Linked DNA regions of Ovis aries. The protein of the gene in region 2 interacts with the protein of the main gene of each other region in a pairwise test. Links are inferred from orthologs where the notes say so. Each region holds a gene or a part of one and is shown on either strand. Other genes may lie near its edges.

What was found.
Region 1: the proteins of HABP4 (region 2) and YBX1 interact in a two-hybrid assay, tested with the Homo sapiens proteins (2 studies listed by BioGRID and IntAct). The link is inferred for Ovis aries from reciprocal best matches to the Homo sapiens genes HABP4 and YBX1.
Region 3: the proteins of HABP4 (region 2) and C1QBP interact in a two-hybrid assay, tested with the Homo sapiens proteins (2 studies listed by BioGRID and IntAct). The link is inferred for Ovis aries from reciprocal best matches to the Homo sapiens genes HABP4 and C1QBP.
Region 4: the proteins of HABP4 (region 2) and RACK1 interact in a two-hybrid assay, tested with the Homo sapiens proteins (2 studies listed by BioGRID). The link is inferred for Ovis aries from reciprocal best matches to the Homo sapiens genes HABP4 and RACK1.

The regions. Positions count from the first base shown.
Region 1 is NC_056054.1:17,201,293-17,203,963, reverse strand, and holds the end of YBX1 (Y-box-binding protein 1), read right to left. Parts: intron 2,039-2,671; coding exon 1,804-2,038; 3' UTR 1,773-1,803; intron 939-1,772; 3' UTR 553-938; downstream 1-552. UniProt on the Homo sapiens protein: DNA- and RNA-binding protein involved in various processes, such as translational repression, RNA stabilization, mRNA splicing, DNA repair and transcription regulation.
Region 2 is NC_056055.1:29,687,011-29,690,314, reverse strand, and holds part of HABP4 (intracellular hyaluronan-binding protein 4), read left to right. Parts: intron 1-2,220; coding exon 2,221-2,406; intron 2,407-3,304. UniProt on the Homo sapiens protein: Ribosome-binding protein that promotes ribosome hibernation, a process during which ribosomes are stabilized in an inactive state and preserved from proteasomal degradation.
Region 3 is NC_056064.1:25,998,117-26,002,231, reverse strand, and holds the start of C1QBP (complement component 1 Q subcomponent-binding protein, mitochondrial), read right to left. Parts: upstream 2,838-4,115; 5' UTR 2,737-2,837; coding exon 2,514-2,736; intron 1,899-2,513; coding exon 1,748-1,898; intron 1-1,747.
Region 4 is NC_056058.1:38,114,197-38,118,339, forward strand, and holds the start of RACK1 (small ribosomal subunit protein RACK1), read right to left. Parts: upstream 2,866-4,143; 5' UTR 2,800-2,865; coding exon 2,691-2,799; intron 2,451-2,690; exon of another isoform or gene 2,383-2,450; intron 1,525-2,382; coding exon 1,353-1,524; intron 1,060-1,352; exon of another isoform or gene 981-1,059; intron 820-980; coding exon 672-819; intron 413-671; coding exon 317-412; intron 52-316; coding exon 1-51. UniProt on the Homo sapiens protein: Scaffolding protein involved in the recruitment, assembly and/or regulation of a variety of signaling molecules. Interacts with a wide variety of proteins and plays a role in many cellular processes.

The DNA.
Region 1 (2,671 bases), on a different chromosome or scaffold from region 2:
GTCCAGAATGTCTCTGGATAGCAGTCATCAAATTATTCCATAAAGGAAAGTAAGACACTATAAAATATGGAACACGCTTATGTTACAAGGGTGCTGAGGACAAAATGAATGTCACTGACCTCTATATTCTTTAAGCAGCCTTCCCACAAGCATTCCATCATTTGTGGTTACCATCTCTAGTACCCAAGTAAAGGAGCTGAGCTGTGTTTACTGAGTACAGCAGTCTCTGCGGCAGACATCTGCTAACTAAGGTGGGTGTCCTTCAATCTGCAGGCTGAAGTAACTCACAGTTCTGTTAGTCTCCACTAGAACATGCCCTCTCTTTACCACTGCCTCCCAGTAAAAGGAACTCACTGAATGGAAAATGGCCAGATTATCGTAGCAAATTCTAATTTTCAGTACAGGTATGCTACTCAACAAATGATTACACATTTTAAGAGCATTTCCTTGAGTAAATACCACTAAGTATCACCTATCTGCAGAGATTTAAGTTAATAACCAGCTAAGTACTTGTAAACTAAAAAAGCAAGGCAGAAATATACAACAAAGACAATTATTTAAGACCTTTATTAACAGGTGCTTGCAGTTTGTTGACTTTTTTTTTGAAAAAATCAAGCTGTAAACTTTTATTACAAATTAAAAATGAGGTTCTTAAAAATCTCAACTTGACCAGATATGAAACAATTTAAAAACCTTTAAAGGTGTATTGAGAAAAAACAGGCTTTTTTTTTTTTTTTTAAAAAACACGTTTGTCATTACCAAAAAGAGACGTCTTTAGGTAAAAATAATAAAAACCCCATGCTGCATAGATAATGCAGATAGTTCTAGTTATCTGGTCAACAGGCAAAAAGCAAGCACTTAAGGTCTTCAGCTCCAATCTTTTGTTCATTTCTTATTGCTGGAATTTCATATTCATTTCTTCTTGTTGGATGACTAAACTGTAAGAGAGAAAAAGAAGTTTTCTAATTACCTTCTATAGTTCACTGCAATCTTTCAGTATATCAAATTAGCTAGGCAGGGAACACATCTCATACTGGTTTACCTTTACACAGCAGTTCATAACAGGAGTGGGCATTACTATATAATAAGAATGGTTACTCATAGGTTCTGAATGACCTTTTGACACTCAAAATAGGGGGAAAAAGTCTCACTGGCTGAAAATGATAATTCTAGAGTCAAACAGAGACAAATACATGTCTCCTAGAATCAAGTAAAAAGGGAATCCTCTTAATTTTAGAATTGATGATGTAATGCCAAAGCCACCACGTAAACAGACCATCCTGGTCATCATCACCTACGTTTTTAATCTGAGTAGCCATCCCACTTATTTTTGAAAATGAAGAATCTCATAACGTAATTACTTGTAGTCAGCAAGACTTTCCTCAGCTTACTGGTGTTTGTGTGTGTTCTCAGTCATGTCCGACTCTTAACAACCCCCATGGACTACAGCCCACCAAGCTCCTCTGTCCACAGAATTTTCCAGGTAAGAATACTGGAGTGGGTTGCCATTTCCTTCTCCAGCTTACATTAAAATCATCCAAGAAAGTTGACAAAAAAGCCCTAATACAAAAGATACAATGCAAAGCTAGGCCAAAGTATGGCTCTGATATACAATCCATTAACAAAATGACATTCAAGTCATCTTAAGATTAGTTTGGGTAGAAGACACTGTAAGTTTGAGTGGCTTACCTTACCTGATGAACTGGGTTTTCCTCTCTTTCATTAATGGACATCACTCATGACTGCCCAGAGGGCCATCGAGGCTTACTTACCCGGATGATGGTAGAGATGGTAAGCCGGCATTTACTCAGCCCCGCCCTGCTCAGCCTCGGGAGCGGACGAATTCTCAGCTGGTGGATCGGCTGCTTTTGTCTCTTTGCCATCTTGTGGTTTAGGGTTTTCTGGGCGTCTGCGTCGGTAATTGAAGTTGCGGCGGTACCGACGTTGAGGTGGCTGCTGACCTTGGGTCTCATCTCCTTGGTTTTCCTTATCTTCTTCATTGCCGTCCTCTCTGGGCTGTCTTTGGCGAGGAGGGCCCCTGGAATGAACATTGTGGAAGCTTGCAATGATAAAACCTTTCTTTAATCAAGTCACCAGGTCAACACATCTGCTCTTTCTGTTTATCAAGTGGTATGCAGGCAATTTATCAAAACTGAAAGAGTAAACTTGGTTTTTACTTCACAAATTGAGTATGACGACTTGGTAAAAGGATTTGGAAGTGTAAACTAAGATGACCGTTTAAAACTGATTTTAACAGTCTCATATTACCCAATATATCCATATATATACCCAATATATTCATAGATAGTTGAGTGAAGGTTGGGGAGCCTGGAGTGCTGCAGTCCATGAGGCCACAAAGACTTGGACATGACTTAGTGACTGAACAACACACTCATATTATTCAAAATACCCATAGTATAACCTATTCCAAAGTTAGCCATGAAAGGACTAAAGCTGTACAATACCATCAATACCCTAATGCTATTTAAAAACATGGGTATTAAACTAACCAGGTTTGGAAACAAGTGCTAAACTTTATAGATGAACATTTGTTTTTTTTAAAAAAAGCAGAAATCAAAACCAGAGAAAAGGTATTATCTTCATATAAATCAAAGTACACAGCAACCATTAGTTTGGGAAAGGCAGATCAAAACCACTTCATACACACCAG
Region 2 (3,304 bases):
GCTCTGTGAGGTCTTTTTACAAGTCTATCAGCTAGTTGGGTTGGGTTTTTTTTTTCCCTATCCACTTACTTTTTTTGTAAATAAAGTTTTGCCTAAAACAATTGTGCTGTCAGGATTTGAAATGTGCAGCTGACATGTTAAGTAAAAATAGAAGCTGTTCTTCTTAATCCACACCAGATTCATCTTTGCTGGCTTCTAAGAGAGGTCTCCTGGAATCTTTGAAGCAACTGGGTTAGCTGAGTCATGGAGCTTGGTCTCAGTAAGGCACACATCTTTGGTACTTATTAACCTTACAGCATTGATGATTTCAGCCAGGAATTGTTCTTAAAGAGACAGAAGCCAAATCGTGGTGTCACTACTTTGTTCTGGATACACTAAAGAGAACAAAAGCACTAGAATAATACCTCTTGTTTCCTTGGAGCTCTGTTCTTGCCAAAGTTAAGACCTAACAGTAACCTATGAGTAGAGCGGGCCCTTAAAGCACTTTGGCCTGGCAATTTGCTCACTCAACTTCCCCTGCAAGCTGTGCCTTCTTACTGGGAAGCTGTGTCTCTGCTGAGGTGCCTGGATAGCCAACTGTTTTCTAAATCAGGCAGTAGTTTATTATTTTGCCTGTTACATTTTTTGTGTGTTTATCTTGTTGTCAGAGTGCAAGTGTTCCTGAATTGTTCTTTCCTTCATCTTTTTAGCTTCAAGAGTACATCTGTCTAAGGACACAAATGTTAAACATGAAGCCTGGAGTAAACATATGGCCAAAAGGGAAATACGTGCTCTGGGAGATTTGATTCCATTTGCTGGACAAGCAAATGGATGTTTAACCGTATAACACTTTGGAGATTCTCATCCGTAATCATTGGCCTATTTTCTGCAGGTTCATATTTCTCTGTAGGTTTATATTTTACTTACAAGTGAGAAGTTTCATTCGTTGTTAGGAATTGAAACCAAATCAAATTTGAAGGTTTATTAATACTGTTTTATCAAGAGACAAAACTAATTTGACCTCTTGATTCATGTCTGACTCTTGTGATCCCATGGCCTGTAGCCTGCCAGGTTCCCCTGTCCATGGGATTCTCCCGGCAAGAATACTGGAGAAGGTTGCCATTTCCTTCTCCAGGGGATTTTCCCAACCCAGAAATTGAACCCAGCTCTCCTGAATTGCAGGCTGTTTCTTTACCATCTGAGCTACTACAAGGGAAGGCCCCATACAATAAAATGTATATTCTCAAAGAATTTTAACTAAGGCGGTTTTTAAAAAGCAGCCTGAGTTCTTTATTCAGCCTTGGTAGCAACCCTTAGATAATCATACTGTTGTTACTCTTTCCATATATTTTGAGTCAAAATTATTTACTGTAAATCATCCTGTTTTTGACATATGGTATTTGTACAGTCAGTACCCATGTTGAGAGCAGTTTCTCCATCAAGTTCTTTTCTAGGAAGGTGAATTTTCCTTATTTATCAAAGTAGCATTTGTGAACAAAACAAAAGGCAGGAACTAAAACTTTTCAGTCTCAGCAAAATACACTTAGATATGCAACATTTATAGGATTTCTGTTAGTCATGTTAAATCTTACATCTGAACCTACTAAACTGATAGAAATTTGGTCTGACTTGAAGTAAGTTCAAAAATGCTTGAATTAAGACTATGACACTACTGTGTATAAAGCAGGTAACTATTGAGAACCTACTGTATAGTTTAGGGAACTCTGTTCAATACTCTATGATAATCTGTATGGTGATAGAATCTTAAAAGAGTGGATTTATGCATTTATATAGCCAACAGGGGCTTTCCTGGTGGCTCAGCAGTAAAGAATCCAGCTGCGGTGCAGGAGACACAGGTTTGATCCCTGGGTCGGGAAGATCCCCCTGGAGAAGGACATGGCAACCCACTCCAGTATTCTTGCCTGGAGAATCCCAAGGACAGGGGAGCCTGGTGGGCTACAGTTCATTGGGTTGGAGCCAGACACGAGTTAGTGACTGAACAACAGCAATAGTGGGCTGACTTTGTGGTTACAACAGAAACTACCCCAGCACTGTAAATCAGCCACTCCCATTAAATAGAAAAAAGAAGGCCTGTCAGTATGAGAACGTGTGGCTGCAAAGTGCAAAACCCACGCAGCTGGAAGCAGAGCAGCAGCAGCATCTTCCCCTGCTCAGCCCAGCGAGTGTCCATGGAGACGGCCGTGTGTACGTTCTGTGTCTGATGCTGTAACTGTGTTTCAGATGGTAAAGGATGACTATGAAGATGATGCCCACGTTTTCCGGAAAGCGGCCAATGACATCACATCCCAGCTGGAGATTAATTTTGGTAACCTCCCTCGTCCCGGGCGTGGAGCCAGAGGTGGCACACGGGGAGGCCGGGGAAGGATCAGAAGGGCAGAAAACTATGGACCCAGAGCAGAAGTGGTGGTAAGTGTGTATATTCTAAATCCTGGATGGTTTTCTGAAGTGAGAGGATGAAGATGCCCTGGGCCTACATAGTTTGATTTTGGAGGATCATCAAGTTCGGCCTGATCTAGATAGAGGACGTTCTTTCTCCTCTGTCTAGTGTGGGCCCCATGTTAGAGTATTTGGAATGGTCATCAGCATGATGGGCATCAGTTGGATACAGACCATTGTGTAGCCCTGGCCTCCCGGGTCTCCAGGGAAGTCTGTCTGCTATGATTGTACACTCAGAGCTGGAGAAAAATTCACGCATGTGCATCAGATGAGGTCCCCAGGCCTGGTATTGAATTAGATCAACTGACAGTTGCTTACTACGGTGTAAGCAACCCTGTGCCCTGAAGCTTTCAGTGTAGACAGAATCATTCCAACAGCTTCAAGGCAACCTTTTCACGTCAAACCATTCTTTGCCACTCTTTAGCTGACACTGCCCTACTTCTGGGACAGACAACCTTGTTCCTTACTCCATGGGGCCTTTCTGCCTGCTGGCCTTCCTCCTACCCCTTTGCCTGTTTACCTAGGCTAGATCCTCTAACCTCCCTTCATCAGAGGAGGCTTCCAGACCAGGTCAGAGTCCTTCCTTTCTTTGAAGCACCATCTGCATTTGTAATTGTACTATCGCTGGTACAATTGTTGGTCAGCATCTGCTGTCTCCAGAAGACAGATTGGTTTCCCCAGTGCCTAGTATAATATAAGCTGTACTAGACGCTTCATCAGTGTTTTATGAACAAATATACCAATACCTGTTTAGTGGGAATTGGGCACAAGGTTCAGCGGCCAGCAGAGGCACCCATGCTGTCCTTGTGAGAATGGAGAAGCCCCTTCTTTGTGGCTGATCTTGGAAATATTCCTTTTGCTGCCGATT
Region 3 (4,115 bases), on a different chromosome or scaffold from region 2:
TACGCATGACCATTGTTATGTATGGGATCGCTCAGTTGCTACATGCGAGATCTTAGTTCCCTGACCAGGGATTGAACCCAGGTCCTCTGCGCTGGGAGCAGACACTTTGACCACCACAAAGTTCCAAAAGCCTCCTTTAAGAAAATAAAATGTACTTGGCTGGGCTGGGTCTTGGTTGCGAGGTGCATGTGACCTTTGTTGCTATGTGTGGTATTTTAGTTCCCTGATCGGGGATTGAACCCAGGTCCCCTGCACTGGGAGAGGAGAGGTTTAACCACTGGACCACCACTAAGTCCCAGGAGCCTCCTTTAAAAATCTTCCTCCATTAGAAGAAAATCTGCCTGAGAGGAAGAGAAGGAGCACCGGAGGGTTGTGGCATCAGCTGAGGATGGAGAGTAGCCCTGGCCCCAGGAAGGGGAGGCCTCACAAAGGACACCACATAGAGGAGTTCTCTGGTGGGCCAGGGGTTAGGACTTGGTGTGTTCACTGCCATGGCCTGGGTTTGATCCCCGGTCAGGGAACTAAGATTCCCACAAGCAGTGTGGCAAAAAAAAAAAAAGAATATGCTGCTGGACAGTTTTATTCTTCAGAGCAGATGTAGGAAGTTTAATAAATGACAAGGCAGGCCACAAACACCACCTAATGACAATTTTAACTTGCAAGAATCTTCACCTGACATATCATATTCCAAAATTTGAACTGAAAATTGAGTGACACTTGGAACGAGCACTGCTAGGTTGCAGACAACGCTGCCCTCTGAAGCCATGGTAACTGGCACCTTGACAGACAGAAGTTTGATGTACAGGCACAAAATCTGTCTAAGCTGTGACAGTGTGGACCAAACTGACCCCTGGACAGAGAAATGCAGCTATGTTCAGCAGCACATTATAATGGTCCCAAACTGCCTATAACTTCGCCTAGGAGAGTGGTTTGGGTCACGTTACAGACCACACAATTGATCTATGACGGGGAAAGCACTACAATACTAGGCAAAAGCACCAGCCTGCTGCTTCACAGCGCATGCAAAACTTCAAAGTGGACCGTGGATTTAAAACAGCTTAAGCAGGCCAAAAGCATCCCTCTTTTCTAATGAAAAACTATACTGCAACCCCACCCTGTTAATTATCTTGCTTTCTCAACTGTAAACAGAACAGGGGCTTTATTTTCCTCAGCCAGAGCCTGAGGGTAGTAGACCCAGCAGAGTAAATCCGATTCTGTGGGCAGTGCCGGAATCTCTGAATTTGCATGCCTAGTTGTGGGCAAGGCACAGCCTCACTCACCAGGAAGGGCTCAGTGACTGCTGCCTCTACTGGTCCAGAAGACTCCCAGTGGCTTGGCTTCAGTGCTACTGGGGTGATGTTCAGGCACTCAGTCGTGTCTGACTCTGCAACCCCATGGACTCCCTGCCAGGCTCCTCTGTCCATTGGATTTTCCAGTCAAGAATACTGGAGTGGGTTGCCATTTCAGACTCACACCTCCTCCTTTGGCAGGTGGGTTCTGGACGCCAAGCCACTGGGGAACCCCGCTACTAGCTTACTGTCTCCTTGTTAACCACCACAGCACATTACTGTGCAGTGAATAAGCAAAAAGGAGCCTAAGAAGTTATCCAAACGAATCATACCATCTCTGGGAAACCAGGAGTCAGTTAAGCACCTGTCTTAACTAAAAGTTGTTGTGGATACCTCACAGCAGGTCCTGCAGGTTTATGGATGTGGTCCCCTGGGCTCCATAGGCCCCTGGTACTTACTTTTCTCCAGCAACTTTCCGCACTAATTTGGCTTCCGTCCCATTCACTTCCAATTCCCAACCTCCTGACATTTTGGGGAGAGACTTATATTTCTGTATCTTCTTTTCCTCCTTGATCTCATCGCTGAGGAAGTCAACGAAAGCTTTGTCTCCTACAATGGAAATAAGTTACAGAAAGAGCCAATTAGTCTAAAATGGAAAATGACCCCGTTACTACAAGCAAAGACCAGGACTTAGCCTGTTTTTTCCTAATACTTCTATTAATGGTGGCTCTGTGGACTTAGCCCAACTCATATCCATTAAACCTCAATTCCTTCATCTGTAAAAATGTAAGCTATCAGTGGGAAGCTGAGCATGGATTCTAGGAAAGTGATCCCGAATAATGAACTTCTCACGACGTTTCAAAATAAAGCAAAAAAAAAAAAAAAAAAAATCGCCACTACCCTTTCACTTGCCAAGAAACATCACGCTACTTCTAACCGCGACCTTGGGCTTTCGCAAAGTTCCATTTTCGAGAGACTGAGGTAAAGCCGGCCTCCAGGACTTTACAGTATCTATCCCCGCAGTCAAACAGGGGTGGGGGAGGACGGGAAATGTTACTACGCGTGGGTTTAACTAGCAGGTCGACCATCACTGGGAGAATGTTCCGGACCTCAGGAGCGGCTCCGGACTGTCCATTCAGGTGGTCTACACCTCCCAGCCCCTAACACCCCGCCCCACCTAGGCCCACGCCCCTCACGCCCCCGGCCCACGTGCATGAGTCTCACCTTCGGTGTGCAGTCCGCTACAGCCGCAGCCGCAAGCGCAGGGCCCCCGAGGCTTCAGGAGGCCGGGCAGCTGAACCGACCCCGCGCGCACGCTCAGCAGCCCGAAGGGCCGGGCGCATGGCCGGGACGCGGGCTGCAGAAGCGGCAGGGAGGGTGCGGCGGCGCGGAGACCAGCGACGGCAGAACCCAGGACGCGGGGCACGCAGCGCAGCAGCTGGAACATTTTGGCAGCGGAGGCGGTGGCGAACACGTGCAGATTCGAAATACAACTCTCGCTTAGAAGGACAACTCCTTGCCGCTGCGCCCCCTAGATCTGGGACCGCCGCCGGAAGTCCCGCCCCACAGCCGGGAAGTGCTTCCGCGCCGCCGCCTTGCAGACCAGAAGGCACAGTGGGCAGGACCCTGCCCTCTGCTGGTGGCCTCCGGTGTAGCCTCCCAGGGAGGCTTGGAATCTGATTCCTAAACTTTAGTTCTGCAGCAACAGGAATCTTCAGGAACTAAAGAAGTTTAGGAATCCTGAAATGGGAAATCAAGTGGGCCTTAGGAAGCATCACTACGAACAAAGCTAGTGGAGGGGATGGAATTTCAAATCCTGAAAGATGATGCTATGAAAGTGCTGCACTCAATATGCTAGCAAATTTGGAAAACTCAGCAGTGGCCACCGGACTGGAAAAGCTGTTTTCATTCCAGTCCCAAAGAATGTTCAAACTACTGCACAACTGCACTCACCTCACACGCTAGCAAAGGAATGCTCAAAATTCTCCAAGCCAGGCTTCAACAGTATGTGAACTATGAACTTCCAGATGTTCAAGCTGGATTTAGAAAAGGCAGAGGAACCAGAGATCAAATTGCCAACATCCGCTGGATCATGGAAAAAGCAAGAGAGTTCCAGAAAAACATCTACTTTTGCTTTATTGACTACACCAAAGCCTTTGACTATGTGGATCACAACAAACTGTGGAAAATTCTGAGAGATGGGAATACCAGACCACCTTACCTGTCTCTGAGAAATCTGTATGCAGGTCAAGAAGCAACAGTTAGACCTGGACATGGAACAACAGACTTGTTCCAAATTGGGAAAGGAGTAAGTCAAGGCTGTATATTGTCACCCTGCTTATTTAACTTCTATGCAGAGTACATCGTGCGAAATGCGGGCTGGATGAAGCACAAGCTGGAATCAAGATTGCCAGGAGAAATATCAATAACCTCAGATATGCAGATGACACCACCCTTATGGCAGAAGGTGAAGAACTAAAGAGCCTCTTGATGAAAGTGGAAAGGAGAGTGAAAAATTTGCCTTAAAACTCAACATTCAGAAAACAAAGATCATGGCATCTGGTCCCATCACTTCATGGCAAATAGATGGGGAAACAATGGAAACAGTGAGACTTTATCTTCTTGGGCTCCAAAATCACTGCAGATGGTGACTGCAGCCATGAAATTAAAAGACGTTTGCTTCTTGGAAGAAAAACTATGACCAATCTAGATAGCATGTTAAAAAACAGAGACATTGCTTTGCCTACAAAGGTCCATCTAGTCAAAGCTATGGTTTTTCCAGTAGTCATGTATGGATGTGAGAGTTGGACTATAAAGAAAGGTGAG
Region 4 (4,143 bases), on a different chromosome or scaffold from region 2:
TGTGTGGCCGATGTGATTGGTCTTCAGCTTACAATTTGCCAAGTTCCATACCTAAAATTGTGGGTCAAAGGTGAAGAACCTGGGCTCTGGATCTATCAAGGTCAAAAAAAGGCATGGCACCATGCTTAAAAGGCATCCCTGGATAGGAGAGCCAATTTCCATTCTATCAGTGACAAAAAAGTCCAAGAATTATTAATCTTGGCCACTTACGGTCAGTTAAGGGACAAAGCTGATTCAAAGTTGATTATGACCAACTGGGAGGTAGTGGGAACACATTCTGGTTGGTAAAGGCCTCACGCCCTGGCTCCAAGCTCACCTTGACCAGCTTGTCCCAGCCACAGGAAACAATAATGGGATTGCTGCTGTTGGGCGAGAAGCGGACACAAGACACCCACTCTGAATGGCTTTCATCCTGCAGAGGATGGAAAGGAAATAAGGAGAAACTGTCTCGTCTTATGAAACTCGAGACCCCACCCTCCCCGCTCAGTTATGTGGGATATATATTCAGTATGTTGACAACCTGTATTCACACTTCCAGAACCCAAACCTTTAAGATAAGATAGAATCCCTTTAGGTTCCAGACGAGGCTTAAAATCACCATATAAAAGCACCAGTTAAGAAGGATGGGGGAAATGTTCAACATATGCTCCCTGCATGTGCCTTTACTTTACCTGGACAGTATATTTGCATACACCCAGAGTATTCCATAGTTTGATGGTTTTGTCTCGGGAGCCAGAGACAATTTGCCGGTTGTCAGAAGAGAAGGCCACACTCAGCACATCTTTGGTATGGCCTACAAATCGGCGAGTGGTGGTGCCCCTGAGAAGGAGGACTTGGTTACTCTCTAGAAAGACTGCAAACATTCTTCCAGTCAGGCTGTTTCCCTGGCCCAATTCCTCACCCAATGGAGCTGCGTTACCCACACCACCCTGGACATGGCTTTGATAAACGGCAGGCCCTTGGCCGAGAATATGCCAGAGAATCCCTTCAGAATTGCAGGACATGTCCTCACTCCCATGTGGGGATTGGCTGACAATGTCATCTGTCATCACCAGGATCCTCCATTATGCCTGACCACCCAAGACTGAGCTCCCAATATACAGTATGTTCAAACATGTTGTCTAGTCCCAAGTGCAGTATCTGATAAAACTGCTAAAACAGACCACTCTTCAGCAATTCTGTGTATCTAATTAAAAGCAACGGGGAGGGAGGCCGAACCACCACAAATATCTTCTCCAGGTACTGTGCCTTACAGTTCCCACTCAAGTACCCAATCACTACCCTGGGAAACCTGATGGTATCTACCTGCTTTCTACCCAGCTTTCCCCCAGTGCCCCAGAGCAGCTACTTGCGTTGTGAGATCCCAAAGGCGAAGGGTTCCATCCCAGGAGCCTGAGAGGGCAAACTGGCCATCTGAGGAAATGACCACATCACTAACAAAGTGGGAGTGACCCCGAAGAGCACGCTGTGGGATACCATAGTTGGTCTCATCTCTGGTCAGCTTCCACATAATGATGGTCTTATCTAAGGGCAGGTTAAAACAAAACAAACAAAAAAAAAGACCCAGTGAAAAAACCCCACGGCTCACCATCTGACCTTCTGGATCATAAACCAAGGGCATTTAGGGGTAGGGAAACTACCTAAAGGCTGAGAGTAGTTATTAGCCAAGTCCAAGTAACTTTAGTCAAGAGTCAAGCAGAGCTAAGTTGCACCCTGAGAATTTAACTCAGGTGTGTGAAACTTTACCAGGTTATGGATGCCCCTTTCGAAAATCTAAAACGATTCCACATCTATTTATTGGGCTTCCCTAGTAGCTCAGATGGTAAAGCATTTGCCTGCAATGCAGGAGACCTGGGTTGAATCCCTGGGTAGGGAAGATCTCCTGGAGAAGGAAATGGCAACCCACTACAGTACCCTTGCTTGGGAAAATCCCAAGAACTGAGGAGCCTGGTAGGCTACAGTCCATGGGGCTGCAAAAAGTCGGAGACGACTGAGTGACTTCACTTCCAGAATGCATGCACACAGCAGGCTGGATATGGAAGAGTAGCTGTGGGCCTCCTGAAACTACTGCTAAAGGATGCAAGAAATACTAGCAATAGAAAATCCACTTTAGGCGCTAAGGACTGGATGCTTTCACTGCAATGTGTTCCACTGAATAAACTTTCCTAGTAAGTGCCATACATGATTGTAGCCTCAGATGAACTATTTTTAAATAGCGTGAACGCAAAAGCAATCGCCAAGAAGTCTCCAAATGCAGTCAGGTACAGAGAGAATGAGAAGGAAAAAAAAAGGGGGAAGAAAGGGCTGCCCCGAAATAGCCGAGAGACTAGACACGAGGTCCGCCTTGGAGTCCACTTTTTAATGAGCAGAGGGTCCGGGCAGCAGCTCAGAAACAGCCTCTGGGTTTCAGCATAGGCACTCAGATGGCATGTTGGGATCATCACGGCGCCGCCCGACCCGAAGGCTCCTGGGCCCACAGATACATACACGGGTTTGAGAGGTAGCGATTAGAAAGGCCCCAGCCTTGCAACCCTCCCGGCAGCCAGCTGTTTCGGGGCTCGCCAAGTCGGGGACGCATCACCGGTTCATCCGCGATGAGGCCTAGGCACAGGTCAACTCACAGCCCACCGGCCCAACCATGTGACGCGCGCAACGACCCCTGCCCCTTAATCCAGCACCTCAGCCCGTACCTCGAGAGGCGGACAATATCATGTCCGGGAACTGGGGAGTGGTAGCGATCTGGGTCACCCAGCCGTTGTGGCCCTTGAGGGTGCCACGAAGGGTCATCTGTTCAGTCATGGCGACGGAGAGTGCGGGTGTCGCCGGAGCGACAAGGATGGAACTGGATAACTCAGAGAGGCGACCCGCACAACCGCTTCCACCGCGGCCCTGCAGAGGAAAAGAGAGAACCGCCCACGCCGGATCCGGAAATACCCGCCCTCTCGAACGAAATGGCGCCCTCCCATAATTCACTTCTGCTCAAGGTGGCAGCGCCATGTAGTTCAAAGGGAGAGATAAAAGAAGACTTCTGGTCCAGACCGTCGTACAACGTAATTTGGTAGCACCGTACAAATTCCCTTATTAAACCAACATGACTGAGTATTTAAAAAGGCTCCTTATGGTAGGGGAATGATGTCTCAAAAGCGTCAGAGAGGAAGTACACGCCCCAGAGCTTAGTAAGGGGAGCCTAGTGGCTTCACTGGCCTTACGTGGCACAGTCTGAACCCCTCCCTTTCCGCTTGGTGGCTCGGAGGGCATCGCAGAGGGAGCTTAATTTCATGGGCACAATTGTGAGTAACGGTGGGCGATGTGAATAATACTATATTAAAATTTCAAAGTAAGCTGCGTTCAGGTGAACTGTTAAACCCTAACAAATTCCATGCGCGGGCGGCGACTCTTCCCTCAAGAGGTTTATTCACTAATGGTGTTGGGTGAAGAAAGACAGTCCACCCAGGACTAAGGCAGGAATGGGTTACAGAGAGGAAAACCGGGAATGAAGGATAAGTTAGTCTGTGGGCTGCTGGACAATAAACCCCGCTCCCGCCTAAGCAGGAGCGTGGAGAGCTCTCGCAGAAACTGAAAGGCTTCAAGAGGAAGGTTGGCTCGGGCAAAACCACCTCATAAAAAGGTCCTTGGGTCTGGGTGTCTAGACGTGCCCAAGTATTTCTTTTCTGTTTGTCACGTGTATTATTTTCTCATGAAATGAGATTGGGAATAATAGTACCTACCTCACACGGTGTGGAGAGTATATTAGATAGGTAAAACACCCAGAGAGACCCCTGGCAAAGCAAATGCACAGAACTTAGTGAGCACCTCTTGGTTACCAGACGCAATTTTAGGTCTTGGGAACATAGCTGTGAACAGGTTAAAAGGGACCTGTTTCTTTGTTTTTTGAGTTTACATCCAATGAGATGGGGGAAAAGAGCTCAAGGGGGAGATTTTTAGCAAAGAAAGATATAGGAGAGATCTTTCGGGATTTATGGGTGGATGTTCCAATCCGAGGAAAGAATCAGTGCCAAAGTTCAGAGCTGGAGCGTTGAAGGCCCTGGGGACCAAACCAATGCAATGGGGGTGGGGGTGGCAGTTGACAGAGGGCCTTGCAGGCTGCTAGAAGGCCTGCCTTTGGGAAGGAACAGTGTGGGA